Linked DNA regions of Alligator mississippiensis. The protein of the gene in region 1 interacts with the protein of each later gene in a biochemical or structural test. Links are inferred from orthologs where the notes say so. Each region holds a gene or a part of one and is shown in the gene's direction. Other genes may lie near its edges.

Region 1 (10,011 bases):
AAAATCTGTGAATGACACCTGTTGAAAATATTTGCCTTTCCTGAGTAAGGTTTGATGAACTGACTCTGGAACTGAAAGAATCCTTGTTAATTCTGAGGTTGATCCATTGTATAACATAATACAGCATAATTTCCCCCCAAAATATGACTAGTAAGTGATATGTTTACTTACAGCAGCATCAGAAGCAGAACTCACCCGTCTCTAGGCAATCTGTGGTCTTGCTGGCCCTGCAGAGCTTCTTTTAAAACCCTTATTCCTCACTTAACTTGCATAACTGCACTTCAGCACTTGTTTACTAGTTGCAACAGTCTTATGCCATTAACAGTGAAAATGTTACAATTGTTTTTCTGCCTACAAAGCTAGTTATCACAATTTTGAATTTGCCTGCAGTCAGCTACAACTCTTAATTCTGGCACTGATTATTAGAAGAATGAACTCATGTTCTTAAGGGTCTTTTTACTGTCTAATAGGTGATGATGAACACCAAGTAGGGAGGGGTTGCAAATACTCAGGATGATGCACAGAATCAGAATTGAAAAGTTGTGGCCCCAGTGAAGGGGCCCCAGTGAAGGGGGCATGTGGCCAAAGTATGTTGGAAGATGCCTGATGTCAAGTTTGGGCCAGAGGTCAAATGCGGCCCAGAAATGGGGCCGGGGAGAATTGGAAGTGATTTTGGATGTCATCTGTGAGGCATGGGACATGCTGTAGGGGTAGTTCAGAGCTGTGTATTATGCCCTGGGCATCAGGGCAAGAAATGGCAAGCCTCCCACCTATGCACAGTGTTTTAGTTCCAACAAAGGCATGGCAAGTGAGTCAGATGGGTGGGCTGCCCTAGACAGGTGGGTGGGCCAATGACTGGACTGGCCTTGAGATGGCCCCCTGTCACACTATCTAATAAGGCAACAGTACACAGGATATGGGAGGTGATGTATATTGCAAATGACCTATAATTCTGAAATGAGATCCTACTGCAAAAGAGTCAAATCTCATTCTGGTGTGTGTTAACAGGGATGTTGTACATCTGATACGAACTGCAGCTAGTAAAGTCTCAGCTTGAAGACTATATGCAGTGGGCACCAACCTTTAAGGAAGTTGTAGGCAAAGTAGAGAGGCTCTGAAGTAGAACAAAAGTTGTTTAGCAAAGATGACCTATGAGGAAAGGTTGAAGGAACTGGATTTGCTTAATATAAGAAAGAGAAGACAGAAAGGGAAGACAAAAAGGGAACTATTTTTCATGGCTACTGGGGGGAAGGATAAGAAGAAATCAGCTTAATTTGCAGTAATGATGACATAGTAGGATATGAGGGGAAATTCAGTATCTGATAGATCAGGGGAGCTCAACCTCCAGCCAAATTCGGCCCATGGAACCATAGCATCCAGCAATTTAGGAAATCTGATGGTGGGAGAATAGTGGCAATTAGTACTGCCAAATACCCAGGACCCACAGCCAGATCAGAGCCAGGCCACACCCCATTCCCTCCGTGGGGCTGGGTCACACCCCCTCTGCCTGCAGGGTTGGGCCACCCCTGTTCCCCCATGCAGTTGGATCGGGGCTGGTCATGCCCCTTCTCCCATGGAGCTGGGTTGTGTTAGGGTCAAGTCTCCTTCCCTGCATGGTTGGATCAGCATCAGGCTGCCCCCTGCTCCCTTCTACGAGCCAGATGGGGTCCCACTGCAACCCTCTCTGGGTGCCGGATCAGGACCACTAGTGAAAGCCAGCCTGTGGAGAGACCAGGCACTGCACATCTAGCCCACTGGACAACGAGGTTGAGCATCATTGTGTATCAGTGGATATCCTGGAGTCTTGTTTATTGGATGATTTGAAGAAGAGGCTAAGTAAATGTCAAGGCAATCTTGGTAAATCTGATTTTGCCTACGCACAGGGGTTTAGACTACATGATCTCTTGTGATCCACTGAAGTTCATACTATAGTGCCTCTGCAGCTAGTCTTGTCCAAATCAGCCTAGTTCATGAAAGACAGACACACCTTTACCATTGTGTTAAGATAACATATTTAACCATCTTCCTTTAAGACTGTCAAGAAGCAAGGCTTCTGCAGAGCTCTGTTGACTGTTAATGTGGACTTCAACCCCCAGAAACTTCCCAGGGGCTGGAGGACAAAGTGAAAAGGAAGAGGAAGCAGGGGGTGGCCAGAAGAGAAGCAGAGAGCTGTGAGAGGGCTATGCTTGGTTGCTGGACACTGGGGATGCATAGTGGGACTGTAGATCTCACTGGCTCGGTTAGCCAGGGCTGCGGACTGAAGGAGCTGGCCTCAGACTTGAGAACAAGTGCAGCCTGCTGTTTGAGCACTCTGGGGACTAAAGGCTGGTTTGGGGACACCTCCAGTGGTGTGTGCGTGGGGGCGGGAAATTAAGGTGCTGAGTGTATGTACCACAGTGTTAATGTCTATTTACCTTTTCCCTCCCTTTGGCATTGGCTTGTGACCCTAACTCCTATGATGTTATATATAAAAGTGGGACCCCCCCCCTTTGCTTCTTGTGCCAGTTTCTGTGGCTGCACAGTTGGCACAATATTTAGAAATGCAGAAATCTTGCAGTGTTTTAATGAAAAGTGGATCTTGACCTAGTTCCTACTTGTAAAGCATTTGCCATTCATTTTTTTTTTTTTTTTTTTTACACAACAGATTTTTTGGGGGGTGGGAGGGGGTTCCGTAAATTACAGTATGCTCTGCATTTTATTATGTGTTTAATTGCAAAAGCACCATAATGTAGTAGCTCTGATACAGCAATGTGCATCTGAGAACTATTTCTCATCATAAGAGGAATGAAGTTCTGGAACAGCCTTCTAGTTGGCATAGGAGGGGCAAGAAATATAATAGCTTTTAAGATGGAGCTTGATGAATATATAAATGAGATTATATGATGTAGTTGTCTACCATAGCAAAGGACAGGGCTCAAAGACCCAGAAGCTACTTCACATTGTATATCTTACATTCCTAAACATTAGGCATACGCATAAATATTATGATATAAACAGGACTTAAATGCATTCAAAAGCTTGTCGAACTTTATTTCAACCATGCAGTTGGTCCAATAAAAATATCATCCGAGAAAATGCTCACCTCTTGCTTATTAAGTATGTACTTAAATGCTATGTTGAAACAGTACCTAAATGAAGACACATCATTCAAATCCTGATTTTGTGGCAGCATCAGACTCTTTGTCTTGATTTATGATGAGCTCAGCCTTTTCACCAATTATCTCTTTGTTTTCAAAACTGTCTGTACCTAAATCTTTCTTGTGTACAGCTTTCCCATGTGTACTTTTTTGTCAGGCACAAAAGGTACAAACAGTATAAATTGGGGGCTCTTTTAGCTGACTCTAAATCTTAAATGGAGCCTCTACACTTTAAGGGTATGAAAGCATAATGTGATCTTTATGAGATCTGCCCACTATAAAATAGCAATTATAAAGCCTGTCTGTCATCAGACTGCAAACCAGATTGTATTCTAATGACACTGAACACAAGTGCTCTTCCCAGGTGTGCTGGGTTTGTTGCTCTGAAAGAAAGGCAGAGCTAAAAGGATTAAAAAATGGGCAACACTCCATGGGATTTTCACATGAGTGTGCGCGCCGGGTCTGACCCCGGGTCGCTTACGTTGCTCTGCACGCAGGCTGTGGCCAGCAGCCCGGGCAGGCCGGGTCGGAGAGGGCGGGCGCCGAGCTAGAATTAGGCACAGACACGTAACGGTTGATTTTAAGATTATTTTACTTACACCGAGATGGTCGTGGTGTAGGCTGAGAACTTGCTTGAGTTGTGGTTACAACAAAAAACACGAACACACGTGGAGGTTGCAAGGCTCCATGCAGACAGAACATGACAAACTCCGGATGTCCAGGACAAGCACGCATTAAACTCGTCGTTACATCTTATAGTAGGCTTCGTTCGAAGACGGGAAGAGGTGGGCGGTGGATCAGGCCGCCAAACTCCTCTGAGCGACACACAGGGTTTCTATTACCCTGCCACACACACCCAGAATCCCCACAAGATGGATGCAAAGTCCTCTTCGGCTTGGGCAGAAACTGCTCAAGCCTCTTATACGGCTAGCAGGCCAATCGCTAGCCGCCATGTGTGAATAATTTAGAACTAGCCAATTGCGGGGCACAAATTTGCATACCACGAGCGGGAAACCTTTGCACGGTGCATTTCTGTGCTCCAAAGGAAATGCACCCTGCAAAGATCGCTGCAAAGTGGCGGGAACACTTCCCTGCATGCGGGTTCTCTGCGCAGCAGAACTCCTCCGTGTAACGAAGCGGTATACCTGCGGGGATAATTCTTAGTGCCGAAGCACACACAAAAAAAATCAGACCTTTGGGTCATGACAATGAGCAGAGACTACAAAAAACTAGAATTGTTTAGTTTTGAAAGGAGATGAAGTAAAGGAATCACTGAAATATTTAAGGCTATGAAAAGTACGGTAAAAAAGTGACCAGCCCTCCAGTCTTATGTGGTCCACAATGTGGAAATAAGTTTAGTTCTCAATTAACTGAAGAGTAAGGCACTTCAGAACACACAAAAGGAAATATTTTTTCATAGATCATATAATCAATCTTTGGAATTGCTGTTGTCGGAGGTCACAGGCTGAAATACAGGGCTTTGACAAGGGTGGTGTCATTTTATGGCTAAGCAGGATTTTTTTTAAAGTGTAGTTTGGTACTCATTCTTCTGGGCCCTGTATAATACACTCGGGAGTATGGCACTGCACACGTGACTAGGCGTGGTATGGGCACTGGGACTTGGAATAATCAAGAGGCCAGTGAGAGCAGATTTTAAAGAACAATTAGTTCAGATTTGGATGACAAATCCTCTCTCCCAGATTAGCTGCAGTAAGTATATCAACACTGTATATATTCCTAATTCCCAGGCTAATACATATTAAACCTTCTGGCATTACCAGGGTGCGTCTGAGCTCCTGCATATTAAACCTTATGTTTTTAACAGCAGGAATGAATCTGCTGCCTTGAGCCTGGGCTTGGGCTACACAATCTCCAGACCACTATGACACCCTGCAGAGGGGAACTGAGGGAAGTGACTCGCTCGCCGTCACGGCACGATTCTAGGCTGGTTCCCTATCCTCTTCTCCCCTCTATCATTAGCTGCATGGACTGCAAACGCTGCCCAGCTTTTGGTTTTCACCCCTGGCAACGCAACGCCTGCAAGGACCGTGCTGCCCATTGCGGCAGGGCTGGCTCAGGGGGCAACACGGCCAGTGCCACCTGCTGACCACAGCTCCACCGTGCAACCGGGCTGCTTTGATTTGTGAGGGTTTTCTTGAGCACTGCCGATGCAGCCACCAAAGGACCCCCCGGGCCCCTGTTCTTCCTACAGGTGGCGCTCCGCAGGCACGCAGCGCTGGTGCCACAGGAGTCCTCGGGCCTCGCCTCAACCCTTTCCTCTCCGCCACTTCCGCCCACGCAGAGGAAGGGCGGCAGCCACCCTTTCCCTTCCTGCCAGCGTCAACCCCTTAGAAAACAACGGGAGGCAGTCGCCATGTCAAGTAAGGGCACGGAGCATAGCCGCTCCGGACCATCCACAGGAAAGGCACGCCCAGGGTGCGTCACGGCGCCATGGCTTCAGGAGCCTAGAAAGCAAAGCGGTGCGGTAGCCATATTTAGTGAGGGCACCGCCTTCGGGGTGACGACCTGCGCAGTGGGCCGCTGATTGGCGGAGCCGCTGTCACTGACCGCTTCCGGCTGGGTCAGGGGTAGAAGGCCAGAGGGGAGGCGCAGCGCCGGGCGGCGGTGAGCTCGGGGTGCGGCACGGGGGATTGGCCGGGGCTAGGGCCGGAGCTCCCCCCACGCGCAGGGGCGGGGTCCGCCCTGGGGGACGTTGGGGGCTGCGGGTGCTCCCTGCGCGCGGCTGCCCGGGGGGAGGGGCAGCGCTGGGGGCTCGGCTCGGCCCGGCGGGGGAGGGGGGCAGCCTCCAGGAGGGGGGAGCGTTGGCTTCAGGGGGGCCCAGCGCCCCACCCCCACCCCCGCGAGTTGTAGGCCTGGAGGGAGGGGGCGGGGGGCAGGGTGTGTGTACATACATACATATACATTGGTGCACATTGATTATTAAAAATAATGTGTATAGACACATATATATGCACGTGTACATGTATGTATACATGTGTTAATGTATATGCATATGCATAAATGCATATTGATTATTAAAAATAATATCTATACATATGTATACACAGGTGTTTGTATATATAGATATAGGTATATATTATATTTATCAATAAATTGTGTACACATACGTATACATAAATGCATATTCATTGTTAACAATGTCTGTATACTAGGGATGCACCGATAGAGATGTTTGCGGCCGATACCGATCTGATTTCCGATACCAACCCAGCAGCCTGAAGAACAGCATCCACCTGGTAAGTCTGTTGTGGTGGACGGGGACGGGGACAGGGGAGGGACAGATCAAGGCCCCCTGTGGTGAGGGAGGAGTGAGGCCGGGGCTCAGCCAGAGCAGGGTGGGTGTGGGACACAGCTGTGGTGGCGGCTTCTGCTGCTACTTCCGCCACTCATCCAGGGGAGGGCATTGGGGTGGGGGGCATGTGCCCCAGATCTGTGCGGGGTGGTCAGGGCCGGGACTACCAGACGGCAGTCGGGGCAGGCGGCACTGAGGGCAGGGATACAGGGAGCACTGCAGCCACCCCAAAATTTGCCAAAGCCCCTGCTCCCAGTGCTGCTGCCACCTGCCATGAACACAGAGTGGCGCAGCCCTGGCCCTGCTTGCCCCGCACAGATCCAGGGGCATGCTTGCCCCCCCGTGCCCTCCTGGACGAGCAGCGGGAGCCCCCTCCCTGTGCCCCCTGGATGAGCCACGGCTCCGTCCCACACCTTCCCTGCCCCAGCCCCTGTCCCTGTCTCAGCTCCACTCCCTCCCTCATCGCAGGGGGCCTTGATTTGCCCCCCCACCATGCCCCTTCCATTCCTCCCTCCCCTTCCACCATACCAGACTTACCAGCTGGACACTGCTCTTCAAGCTGCCGGGCTGTGCTTCTCGCCGCCTATGTGCTGCCCTGCAGCCACGCAGGCACAGGCCATTTATCAGCCAAATTATCTGCCATATGAGGCTGATTTCTGATAAAGACAATTTTCTTTATATCCGTGCCAATCTGATATTGGACCAATGCATTGGTGCACCTCTAGTGTATACATTTATGCGTATGTGTGTATACATGTATGTATGTATCCGTATGTAAATGCATATAGATTAAAAAGAGCATGGGTATGTATATGTATTTGTATGCGAGGATACACGTATTTATGTGTATACCCACACCTATACATATAGATTAAAAGAACGTGTGTGTTTACACATGCTCACATGTATGTGCATGCATACATATATCGATTTTTAAAAACAAAAGTTCCTGTGTGTATATACAGATGCTTGTGTACATGTACATATGCATGTATACACACCTATATGCACCTATATTACTAAAATGTGTGAATGCGTATATACATATGTGTATACACATGTAAATGTTTATGTGTACCCTCATACATGCCTACATACATATGGTAGAGGTGCACCAATAGAGATTTTGGGGGCTGATACTGATAGCCGATATTTAAGGAGGCATATCAGCCGATACCAGTCCAATTTCTGATGCAGCTGCCATCAGCTGGTCAGTCCATTGTGGTGGAAAGGGAGGGGAGGAGGGAAGGGGCATGGCAGGAGGGGTTGCAGATCAACGCCCCCCGCGGTGAGGGAGGGGGTAGGGGCAGGCTCTGCCCAGCCAGGGCGGGGGGGGTGGCAGGATAGAGGTGCGGCTTGTGGGGGGGGCAGCTCCTGCCACTGCTTGTACCCCAGGAAGGCAGGGGGCGTGTGACCCCAGATAGGCACGGCATGGGGCAGGCTGCAGCTGCGGGGTGGAGATGGTGCTTCATGGGGCTTTTCTTGCCGCTGGGCTTGGAGCAGGCTCCGGTGTCACTGGGAGGAGGCTGTAGCCACCCCAGATTTCACCGCATCTCCACTCCCAGCCCCTCACTGCTGCCCAGTGGCCAGTGCAGTCGCAGCTGAATGCCCCGCCTCCACCCAAGCACTGGGAAAAGCAGTGGCTGAGCTGGACAGCGGCACAGGGCTGGAAACAAAGCTGCAGCAAAATTTGGGGTGGCTGCAGTCTCCTCCTAGCAGTGCTTGAGCCCTCTCTGAGCCCAGCCTCTGGCGAGAAGAGCCCTGCATAGTGCCGGCTCCAGCTCCATCCCACAGTTGCAGCCCATCCCGCGCCGCGAACATCCAGGGGCAAATGCCCCCCCCCCCCCCCCCCCCCCCCCCCCCCCCCCCCAGTGCAAGCAGCTGTGGGAGCCACCCCCCTCTGCCCCCTGGCTGGGCAGCACCTGTCCCCTCCCTCACTGCAGTGGGCCGTTGATCTGCCCCCTTCCCATGCCCCTTCCCTCCCCATGCCCCTTCCAACTTATCAGCTGGAAGCAGCGCTCCATGCTGCCAGCTCTGCTCCATGCTGCATTGCAGCTGCACACAACACGGGTGTTTATTGGCCAAAATATCAGCCCGATGTATACACAATTTTCTTTATATCGGTACCAATCTGATATTGGACCGATGTATCAGTGCACCTCTAACATAGATTATTTTTAAAAAAACAACAAACCTCACAGAGTCACTGGTTTGTAACTTTGCGGTAGCTATATTTAAAGGATGGGATAGAGCACATGAAGCAGTCCTCTGTCTCATTTTGAAGTGCCTTTCTTAGCTTGAGAAGCTGCAGTGTCGGCTGTTAAGAAATCCAGCAAACCCCCGCTCCCCCGCCCCCAATTAGAAACCGTGGGGCTCTGAGTTTTACAGGTTTTTTTATTATTGTTACCTAAATTTTGTACCAAATTAGTAGGCAGCATGATCCTCTGAAAGGTACTGGAAACACACATGGCAAAATTCTTCACAGAGAGAGAGAAAGGAGGAGAGACTATAAGAATTGCCCCTAGGATAGGCTGTCTTTCAATTAATTCAGACCTAATCAGGTCTGTGCTTGCTTTTGCATAAAGTGGCCATTATGGCCTTGTCTGGTGAGGGTCTGAGGGCTTCCATTGGGGACAGGAAGAATTGGGTTGGCAAGGGCTTTGTAGCCGCAGCAGGCTGTAGGCTTATTTGCCAGTTCTCTTCAGAATGTAAATAAAAGTATTTTGCTTCCCTTCGCAATGCAAAGCAAAAAGATGGAAGGCAGAGAGCAAACACCCCTTTCATAGTGGATGCTGAAGTAAGTTGTTGCCCACAGAAGCTCGTGCCTCTCTGAACCAGTTAGTCTTTAAGGTGCCACTCACCCTACTTTCTGTGGTTGTGATCAGTTCAGGTGGCAGTGTGAGACTATTTCTGCTGCCACTGTTCACACCATCCAGAGAATTTCAGTCTCCAATGCCTTTCACGAGCATTGGGTTTACGCAACCCAAAGCACATACACGCATATGCTTTATTTAAAGGTAGTAAGAAGTACAGGGAACTTCTGTGATTACAATGATATTGGCACTGTGTTATCTCTCAGTATGGTCTGTTTGCTGCAAGAATTCTTTATTTCTTTTCTCAAGGCACATATCAGAATGTATGAAAAAATGTCAAATGCATTTTTGTGTCAGGGGAATTAACAGGTATATCGTATTTTGTTTCCATTGTCATTCTATGTACCCTTCAGGGGCAGGCATGAGAAGATCTGCTGCCTACCACTTTCCGTCACAACTCTGCCCGTACACTTCACCTCACATCACAAAGAAATTCTTCTAGGTGAGTTACAGATGTCAGTATGGCAGTGTAGTGGTCAGGTAGGACATAGGGAGGTATCTCACCAAACTCTTTAGTCTTCGTTTCTGTCACACTGTGAATGTGGGAATCCTGATGGAGAAACCACTGTATTAGTTCTCTGCCACATCCCAGACATCTTTCTATGTCATTTTGAAATCTTTTGGAAGGAGCCTTCTTTTCCTCTTCCCTATTTTTCCGTGATTACTGTTGATCTTAAAGAAAAGTTTT
Region 2 (9,423 bases), on another chromosome or scaffold:
CATATGAAGAGACCACATTCTGACCCGAGAGTCATAGTGATACACTGCATCTAGTATGCACCCTTTAAAAAACATTAAAAGAACATCCATTGCCCATGTATGGATTTGGCCAGAATTAAGGCCCTGGAGGTGCCTACAATTTTCCCTCTGTGCATGACCAGAACTGATCCCCCTAGAGCACACAGGTGATCTCCCACCTGAGCCCAACTGGGATCCAGAAAGTAGGTACTCCACTGCCTGAGGCTCACACCATTATCAAGTACTTGTCAATATTGTAGTCCTTCACAAAATGCAGTTATGGCTTTTTTGTTAAAATGGGTTCAGAGGTGATGGGGGAGATGGTAAGCGTCTATAATAGCCCAATACATTACACCACCAGCTCATAAATTGGAAGACCAGGCTTCAAGGGGTTCAAACCAAGGAGAGTGTCCTAATACCTGGCTATAGGCTGGTCAGTTGTGTGGCTGAGCCAGGCACATGCTGCTGACGCTGTGCTATGATGCAGAAAGTAACGCAAGATTCACAGGGCCAGGAAGGGACTCTGGAATACAGCAGTTAAAGCAGTCAGCTGTGTTTGGCCTCCACTCTCAGGTCTTAAGGGTTGTGTTTTTTATTCAGTCATTGTTTATTTATTTTACATTAAACAGATCAGGAAGCAGGGACCAGAAACCAGGGCAATCTCTCCCTAGTTACATATCCTAACCACTACTTGCCTTACCTCTTGTGACCTCTCCATCCCCTACCTTACCCTTCTTTATGCTCAGAACAGCAGTTCCGAGATGGACAGTTTACCTGCTCCTGTGCTTAGTATTTTTTCTTGGCTAACTTGAGTTGGCCCCATTCAGCACACTAGTTCCTATGGATTACTTTGTCCCCATGTATTACATAATGAAACCCAGGCTTCCAAATCAGGGTTTGAATTCCACTCTGGAGGCCAGGTGATTTAAGTTAAGTATTGCTCTACATTACATGCATGACATACTTGTCATTCAGGTTGGGGAGTCAAAAGTTAACTGGGAGCAATGCTAATGACATTGCTGCCTCAAGTACTACTGGCTACAGAAATCAGTATGACTTTTAAAGACTCTAGCCAGATGGGTGATTAGACCACAGGGGACCTCAGACTCAGCTTTTTGATCCACACCATTTCCTACTCCAAATGAATGTCCTCACCTAGACAGTGCTGCATCTTCCTCCTATTTTAATCAGATTGAAACAATTTAAAAAAAGCTAATCACATCAGTTCACCTACAGTATCTTAAACAGTCAAGAAAATTCACATATACACAAGCTGTATACTGTATTAACAAGGTTTGCCACTCGACCAAAAGACTAATAACTTGGTCATACTTGATTAACGTAGCATATGACTTTAAAGTGCAGTAGCTATTCCTAAATAACTCCATGTGTGGACATTTCCATTCTGGTATAAAAGAGCCCACACTTGATCTGGAATGACTAGTCTAGACTCTCTCATATACTATACAGGCAAAAACATTCTCCACCAGCATAGATTAGATTAAAGGCCATATACTGTCCTCCATTTGTGATTTGACACCTCACTGTCACCTGTAGTTTTCTCAGTTAACAGAAGTGAGAAATCACTTTTTATTTAAAAGAAGCCCTAAAATCTCATTGTTTGGATACTAGAAAACCACTGTAATTTGCTTGTTTTTGTAAGCTAAATCACAACCTTTTTTAAAAAAAGCTGTCAGCTCAAGTACATTATTTTTGTCATTGTAGTACCCAGTTATACATAATAAACTCAAAATGTACACTAGTTTTGTTTAAATAATACAACAGAGACATGAATTACAGAGCCATTTGCTATTAAGACAACTATACTATAAATGGTGTCTCCAAGCAAGATGGAGAACACAAGAGATATAAAAACCACCATTTCACTTCTCTGTAACCAAAGCATTCATGATAAAAGGAATCTGTATTTAGATCATTTGAACTTTCATTCCAGAAAACTGATTTATTACCAGTGTGAAGTGGTGTGCATACACATGTAGCTTCAAGACCGAAATGCAAGTTGCACTGATCTAAAGGGAAAAAATAAATTTAGATGAGAAATGTCATTAACAATCATGACACAATGATTAGGTATTGATCAAAGCCAGATGTGGTCCAAATATTTTGCAGAAATTTGTAATGATAGTTCCACTTCCCTTAGAGCAGGGTGTCAAACGTGCAGCCTGCGAGCTGGGTCTGGGATTGGGAATCTGGCCTGCCTGGCTCCTAGAGGCTGGACATTTGTGGTCAGGCTCACTGCTGAAATGTGAGGCATGGAGCCCCACTGGAGATGTGTGTTCACAGGGGTGGAGTGGGGTATGAGTGTAGCCCCGGCTCCCTGATACTGCTGATCCTATTATTTTTAGATCCAGCCTGGGGAGCCAGATGAGCTTGACATCCCTGTATTAAAGTAAAAATAAGCAAAGAAGGAAGCAGGGATTTTGCCCTGATTAATACTGGGGTACTAGAATAGCAGCAGCATTCCTGATAATCTAATTTTAATCACTCCTGTATTACTCAAGGGAGACTGGTGGAAACGGAATATGTATATAGTGACAATTAGTTGAGTCACTGTAATCTCACCCACATTTTAAGCGTAGCATGGCACACACTAGAATAGAACTTTTACTTCATAAAACTGCAAAGACAAAATAGCCAGACGCAGTTTGCGCTGACATACATACCATTTACTTCTGCACCCAAGAGTTTCATAGTTTGTGTTATGCTGCCTGATGTGAGAGTTACCATTGCACTTCCTTAAATTTAAAGAATCAGTATAAAACAAAGGCTTTACTACTGCACAAAATCTTGGAACAAAGCAAAAGCTACAGTATGCTAACATATGAAGTGCTATAAAGAAGTTTTAATACACACTAGAAATAGAAAATAGGATCAAAATTGAGATTCTAGTCATGGTCTCTAACCTGCTTCCCTATTTCCAAGCTAGGTTTAACCACATCCAAAAGAAAGTTTCAGAGCTCAAGAACCATCTCTAATCTAATTTTCCACTTCTGAAGTGTATTTAATACTTCCTTTCCACGTTCTTCAGGTGTTCTTCACAACCCTATTGTAAGTATATAATTCGCTAGAATTACATAAAAGGTATCCAAAAGAAAGTTTCCAGGCATTTCAATCTTTTGCCCTCAGCTAAGATGACCCCCATAAACCAAAACTTCGACAATTTATGTAAAAAAATTTTCATGGAAGTGTGTTACATGAAAAACACTACAATGATACAGAACTACAATGATAAGGGCAGAAAAGCCTATAAATTTGTGCAAGGTGCAGCTGTGATCTCTAAAGATTTAGAAGTCTATTGCCAGCCAGATTACTAAACATACCTCCCTCTCCCTTTTCGTACACGTTTACAGTGGCCAGGCACAGTACAGGAACTTGATCAGCTAGAATTTTTAGGAAGTCAATATAGTCCCTGTTAAATTTAAGGTCTTTTAATACAATTGTTCCTGGCCTCTGTTTATTTTTGGAAGAGCTTTTGGATGGGCCTGACAGCCTGTAGACACAATAATAGAAGTTGTGTTATGTGCACACTTTAGAATAACACGCACCTTAAAAAAAGGAAGAAAAAAAAATCTATTTAAATAAAAAAGTCGGATAGATATCCATTTAGACAATAAACATAAAAAACAAACATTGTGCTACTACTGAGTTATGAAACTTATTCTGTGCTCCACTTCTTTTCCTCCCTCCCCACCCATTTGTTTTACACCTCTTTTTCCAGAGCAATTAAGGAAAACTGGATGGGATTCCCTGAAGCCATAAATATGGCTCTTGCCTTGGCTACAGGAGTGAAGAGAGACAAAAAATGCCCTCTCCTCTCAGATCTGGAAGCACTACTCAGACTGAAAGTCCATGGAAAGCAAGGAGGATTTCATATGGTAAACTAAAAAGAAAGCTTTTTTTTTTTTTAAATTATTATTACGTTGTCTGAAAACAGACATGGAAAGACATTTGTACCAAAACGTGACCTTCTTTTCCCACAGATCGATTTGCAAAACCTGTGTATATATCTTCATGTGTGTTGGTTATTAAACAGTTATGAATATTTGGTAGCAAAATACTGACTTTATTTTATGTGCGTTACACACTGCTTTAGTGCATTAAACTAAAGGTAAAACAGACAAGAGACCCCAGTCAAGCCCTTCCCCACTTCTGCTACCCCCAGGGTCTGTGGCTAACCTCATTCCTCACCCAAGAGGGAATTTAGCTCAGTTGGAGGCTGCACGCACACTGGCCCGTTTCAGGTGACATTGCTTTCCAGCACTGCCGTTTTGCTCAAGGCCCCTGCCTCCTGCTTCAGGACACTCAGCAGCGCTCGAAAGCTGTCCAAGATCTTCACGTAAGCAGCGTCGGTTTCAGCAAGGATTTTGTCCAGTTCGTCGCGGGCCTCGGCCTTGCGGGCCAGGCTGCCCGACACGCGCTCCAGCCGCTCGCCCAGCGCCCGCACGTCCCGCCGCAGCCGCTCCCGCTCCTCCTCGTCCCGCCGGATCTGGCGGGCCAGCTCGTCCCGCCGCAGGCACAGGTCCTCCAGGCACCGCACCACCTCGTTGTTGCAGCCCTGCAGGACGGCTGCCTGCTGCGCCATGCTCCGGGCCCGCTCCGCAGGAGAGAGGGGAGACAAGAGGAAGGAGACACTGCGGCGGGGCTCCCCAAGGACATCTTAGCCGCCCGCCGCCGCCTCCAGCTTCCTCCCGCGGGAGGCAGCCACACAAAATGGCTCCCGCCCCGGCCCCGCCATGCCCCCGGGACAGCAGCCCGCACTCACTGGCTCGGCCCGCGGCGGAGCCGGGCGCGTCGTCCGCTCAGGTCCGGTCCAGACCCCCGCCCGGCGGCAACCGCAACCGCAACCGCGCCGCGCACTCCGGCGTCGGGAGGGTGACGGAAACAGCCGAGGCTTCCCGAAAGCAGGTCCGGAAACAGCCGAAGTGTCCCGAAAGCCGGAACCGCCCTCCAGGGCGGAAAGAGCCGATGCGGCCCGAGCCAGGCCGGCCGCGGCCGATGTTTGCCGAAGGCAGAGTGGGCCGAGAGCAAAGGGGAGCGCGGGGCCGGGGGGCGGAGCGCGGCGGAAAGAGCCGGAAAGAGCCGAGGCGGGCCGAGCGCGGCGGCGCCCGAGTTGCCCGGATGTAGTTGGAGGAGCGGCGGCGGCGGGCGCAGCGGGGGGAGGCGGCAGCGGCGCGTCCGTGCTCGCCAGTGTCTCCGTGCGCGCGGCGCCCGGCTCGTCCCCCGTCCCGCGTGGCGGCGATGGGCCCGTGAGCGCCGCTCGCAGCCGAGCCCGAGCCCCCGCTCCCGCCCCGGCCCCGGCCCCGGCCCCGGCCGCTGGCGAGGCGGAGCGCTGCCTCCCCCTCCCCCCTCGGCGCCCGTGGCCCGGCCGCGGCCGCCCCCCCCGGCCGCCCTCACCCGCACGCACACGGGCCGGGCATTGATGGTAATGTATGCGAGGAAACAGCAGAGACTCAGTGATGGGTAAATGGCTCCGTCCCCGGCCCGCGCCCCCCGCCCCTCCGCCATGTTTGCGCCCCTCCCCCGGCCGGTAACGGCCCCGCTAACGCCTCTCTCTCTCTCTCCCCCTCTCTCCGCAGCTGTCACGACCGCAGGGGGGACTCGCAGCCCTACCAGGTACTGCAGCGCCGGCCGCCGGGCCCCGCAGGCCGCGGGCGCGGGGGGGGGCGCTACTCCAGCGCAGGCTTCGGCCGTCGCCGCAGGCCGCGTTGCACCCGCCGCCTCGGCCCTGCCCGCCCGGCCGCCCCGGGCCCGCTGCGCCGCGGGGGAGGGGGGTTGCGGTGGGGAAAGGGCGGCCCGGCGGGCCCGGCGAGGGGCAGGGGCGGGCGCGGCCTAGCAGGGCCCGGGCGGCCTTGGGCCTCCGAGCCGGGCGGGGCGGGGCGGGGCCGGGCGGGAGAGCCGCTGGGGTCTCTTGGAGCCAAAACAAATGGGAAAGCGGCTTCTCTGCCAGCAATGGAGCAACTTGGGAGCTGGGGCACTTGGCTTCATACCCGGGGAGGAGCTGCCTTCGAGGGCCCTGGAGAAGCACCCCCTCTCCCCCTTCCCGTGGGTAGGGAGGCAGCCCCTGGGCGCCTGCACTGTGGGGCTCCTCCAAGGGTGCTGGTTGCTCACGGCTCTGGGTATTTGATTAGCTGGGAAATGAAATCTGACAGTTGAAGGCAGCTGGAAGGGGCAGTTCCCGTGCACACAAACACTCCCCTGGCAGCGAAGTGCCTTGCCAAAGCAAGTAGGTGGAAGAGGGGCTGGACAGGAGCACTTCCAGCAGGTCAATATTTCCAAGTGGGCGCAGGCCAGCGAAAGCACTGCCTGTCCCACCACTGCGCTTCCTTCCGCCTGTTAAGTTGGTTTTATGGCTTCAGGAGATTCTTGCCCTTAAAAGTTCATTGGGGTGCTGGATTAGGGTAAAAGGTGCTGGATTAGGGTAAAAGTTTTCAAATCAAGCTTGCAGTGCGTGTGTGTGCGTGTGTACACTGGGTTTGTGCAGAAGTTACATATGATAAATAATATATATTGCATTACTTGATAATGAAGTAGGTGAGGAAAGAAGCTGGGTGTTTGCTAAACGTATCTGGGTCACAAAATGAAGAAGTTTGAGGAATGGCTACTTTGCTTTTAGAGGATATTAAAAATAATGTTCACATATGATATCAAAATGGGCAGAGGTGTCGCAAGACCTAAATCCGCCTCATAACATTACTTTGTATGGCTAACTACAACTAGAAAGCCAAAGGCTGAGTGTCCTGCTGAAATTGGTTTTCAGCAGGAGCTCTAATCACATTTATAATCTTGAGTCATACTAGATTGAAATTAAATGTGTTCTGTATTTAGAATACATGTTTTGGTGGGAAGTGGTAGTAACTGCTACAAAAATGAAACCCAGTTTTAAAGCGCATTCTCATCTCTTGCAGACTCTTAAATATTCATCAAAGAGTCACCCCAGTGGTGGTGATCACCGTCATGACAAGATGCGAGACACCACAGATCCTTCACCACCAAACAAAATGTTGCGGCGATCTGATAGCCCTGAAAACAAATATGGTGACAACACAGGGCACAGTAAAGCAAAAAGTGTGCATGCTCACAGAGTTAGAGAGAGGGATGGTGGTGAGTTGCTTTTAATTGACTTATTTAAGCAGCATTAATCTGATGTAAACTACGTAACAACAGCTACTACTGGGCAAATAGAACTTCACCTTGAATGACATGTCTAGACATGGTGGTCAACTAATTGATCCCTGAGCGATTAGTTTCACTGAACATAATTGTGTAGAACATCATGAAGTGAAGTATTTTGTGCCTCCAACAAGTAGTACATTTCGAGAAGGCCACAGGAGAATACATATATGCAATTTTAGTATGGTGATTCAAATTAATTTCTGCGATTCAAATTTCTAAAGACACTTGTAATATTAGCATGTGATAACATTCCATTTTAGATTTCTTCATCATAGAGATTTTTACTTGTTGCTTCAAAGGCTGAAAACTGTGATTGTTCTGTGGCTTATTAAATAACAGTAGTCTGCTTGCTTATTATGATGATTAATTGTTCAGTTAAGTGCTTAACAGGCTGAACGAAATAGATAATTTAAAATGCAGAGAAGCTTCAGAACTTTTAGTTGCTGTAAGGAAGACTAGTGAGTAGGGGATAGTATGCAAAGGTATTCCTGATTTGATTCCTACTTTGGGGGGAACTCATAAAGTGTTCCTGCTTTAATTCTCTAAATATTTTAATAGACTTCTATTCTATTGCCTGCCTTCCATTTTTGCTACCTCCAGTATCTTGCTTTACTTATCTAATGAGCAAAATTGTAAACATTTTACTGTTTACTATTGTGGGGGAGGTGGGGGGAGAGTTTACCTCAGACACCAGTCAAACTTAAGCCAGTTCTTGGGTTTTCAGTGCTGCTTTTCATTCTTTATTGAGTTACCATGAAAAGTCTTCAGGAAGAGGAACCAAAGAGATCTCTAAAACAACGTATCATCCATGCTATAGGTAAAGTTGACAAATAAGTGATGTAAGGACACTCATTTTATTACTTTTGTTGTGAATGCTTGTTACAATAGTTAACATTAAGGTGAAATGCCAAGTATCTTTTAAGATATCTTGAAGGGAACTCCTGGTCTCCACTGCAAGCATACTTATAGTATATGAGTACTTGTATGCTCCATATTTATTTTCTTTGCTTGAATCTACAAATGGAACTGTTTTATGCATGTTTGATATGCATGCATAAGAAACTGCAAGTTCGTAAGAAAATTTTTGCAGGATAACTTAAAAATATTGATCCTCTATTGTTTTTCTAAGCGTGAGATTACATTTAGATACTTCCAAATTCAGATGTGTGCCATTCTGTAGGGTGCTATTTAAGAAACTGGGTTTAATTCCTGGTTTTACTTACTTGTTCCCTTGGATCCTGACCCTGCAAGCTCTTATACTTTGTTTAACTTCTCTACCTCAAATAGTTTCTATTCCAGTGGGACTACCAACAGTTAAGTACCTGTGAAAATGCATGAGAGATGAAGGCCCATGGGGAAGCAACAGTATTTCTGACTGTTGACATTCTCACACTATAGAAGGAAAGTTGAGTTCTTGCTTAGTCCACCTGTACTGAATGATTAGTGATACATGCCCCAGGCATACAAATATGAAGCAGCTGAAGGAGGAGGTAAAATGGAAATGCTGGAATCTGAAGGGGTTAGAAGATTGCTACTCATTTTGTTCCTTATTCCCTAAGCCATTTATGGAATGGAGGATTTAGTGCAGTATATTTTCAATATATAACATGGTGTAGCAAGTTATTCTAAGTGGTTAGGTCAGCAAACATAAGCATTCCAAAATATGGCATTTTTGTAAAATGATGCAACAGAAATAAGCAAGGTAATTGTGTTTTTAGTTTTAGAGTTTTGATTTAGTTCAGAAAACTTTTCAGTCAATAAGCATGACTAAAATTGCTTTAAACTTTATTATGTCATAAGCATAGTAAACCATAGAGCCGCTCTATGCAGTATAATGTCAACATAAACTTGTGCTTCTTCGTGATCATGTACAGATTTTAGCTGCATACATTTGTACTTTTTGCCACCATTATAGATTATTGCATCCTCTTGTTCAGTAAATATGTCAATTAATACATATTAGTGTTAATGTCAAGACACATGAAATGCTGGTATTATCGGTATGGTTATGTTTGTGATACTTGGTAAATACAGCAGATTGAGTCTAACATGGGTCTGGTTGCCCTAATTTTGTATTTATATGGATATAAATATATATTCAGTGGGACTGCTTACAGTAGTAAAGTTAACTACACGTTAAAATATATTAGGAGATGAGTGCCTTGAGGGTGGGAAGGAACACATGTATAGTTCTACTATGCCATTAATTCT

What was found. The genes of interacting proteins can lie anywhere in the genome.
Region 2: the proteins of RNF20 (region 1) and WAC form a complex in vitro, tested with the Homo sapiens proteins (2 studies listed by BioGRID). The link is inferred for Alligator mississippiensis from reciprocal best matches to the Homo sapiens genes RNF20 and WAC.

What each region holds. Positions count from the first base shown.
Region 1 is NC_081826.1:162,742,191-162,752,201, reverse strand, and holds the start of RNF20 (E3 ubiquitin-protein ligase BRE1A), read left to right. Parts: upstream 1-5,664; 5' UTR 5,665-5,762; exon of another isoform or gene 5,763-5,773; intron 5,774-6,310; 5' UTR 6,311-6,394; intron 6,395-9,676; 5' UTR 9,677-9,765; intron 9,766-10,011. UniProt on the Homo sapiens protein: Component of the RNF20/40 E3 ubiquitin-protein ligase complex that mediates monoubiquitination of 'Lys-120' of histone H2B (H2BK120ub1).
Region 2 is NC_081828.1:190,514,664-190,524,086, forward strand, and holds the start of WAC (WW domain-containing adapter protein with coiled-coil), read left to right. Parts: upstream 1-5,358; 5' UTR 5,359-5,458; coding exon 5,459-5,499; intron 5,500-5,615; coding exon 5,616-5,652; exon of another isoform or gene 5,653-5,880; intron 5,881-6,944; coding exon 6,945-7,140; intron 7,141-7,960; coding exon 7,961-8,029; intron 8,030-9,423. Other genes in the region: microtubule nucleation factor SSNA1-like, read right to left, coding at 4,277-4,621.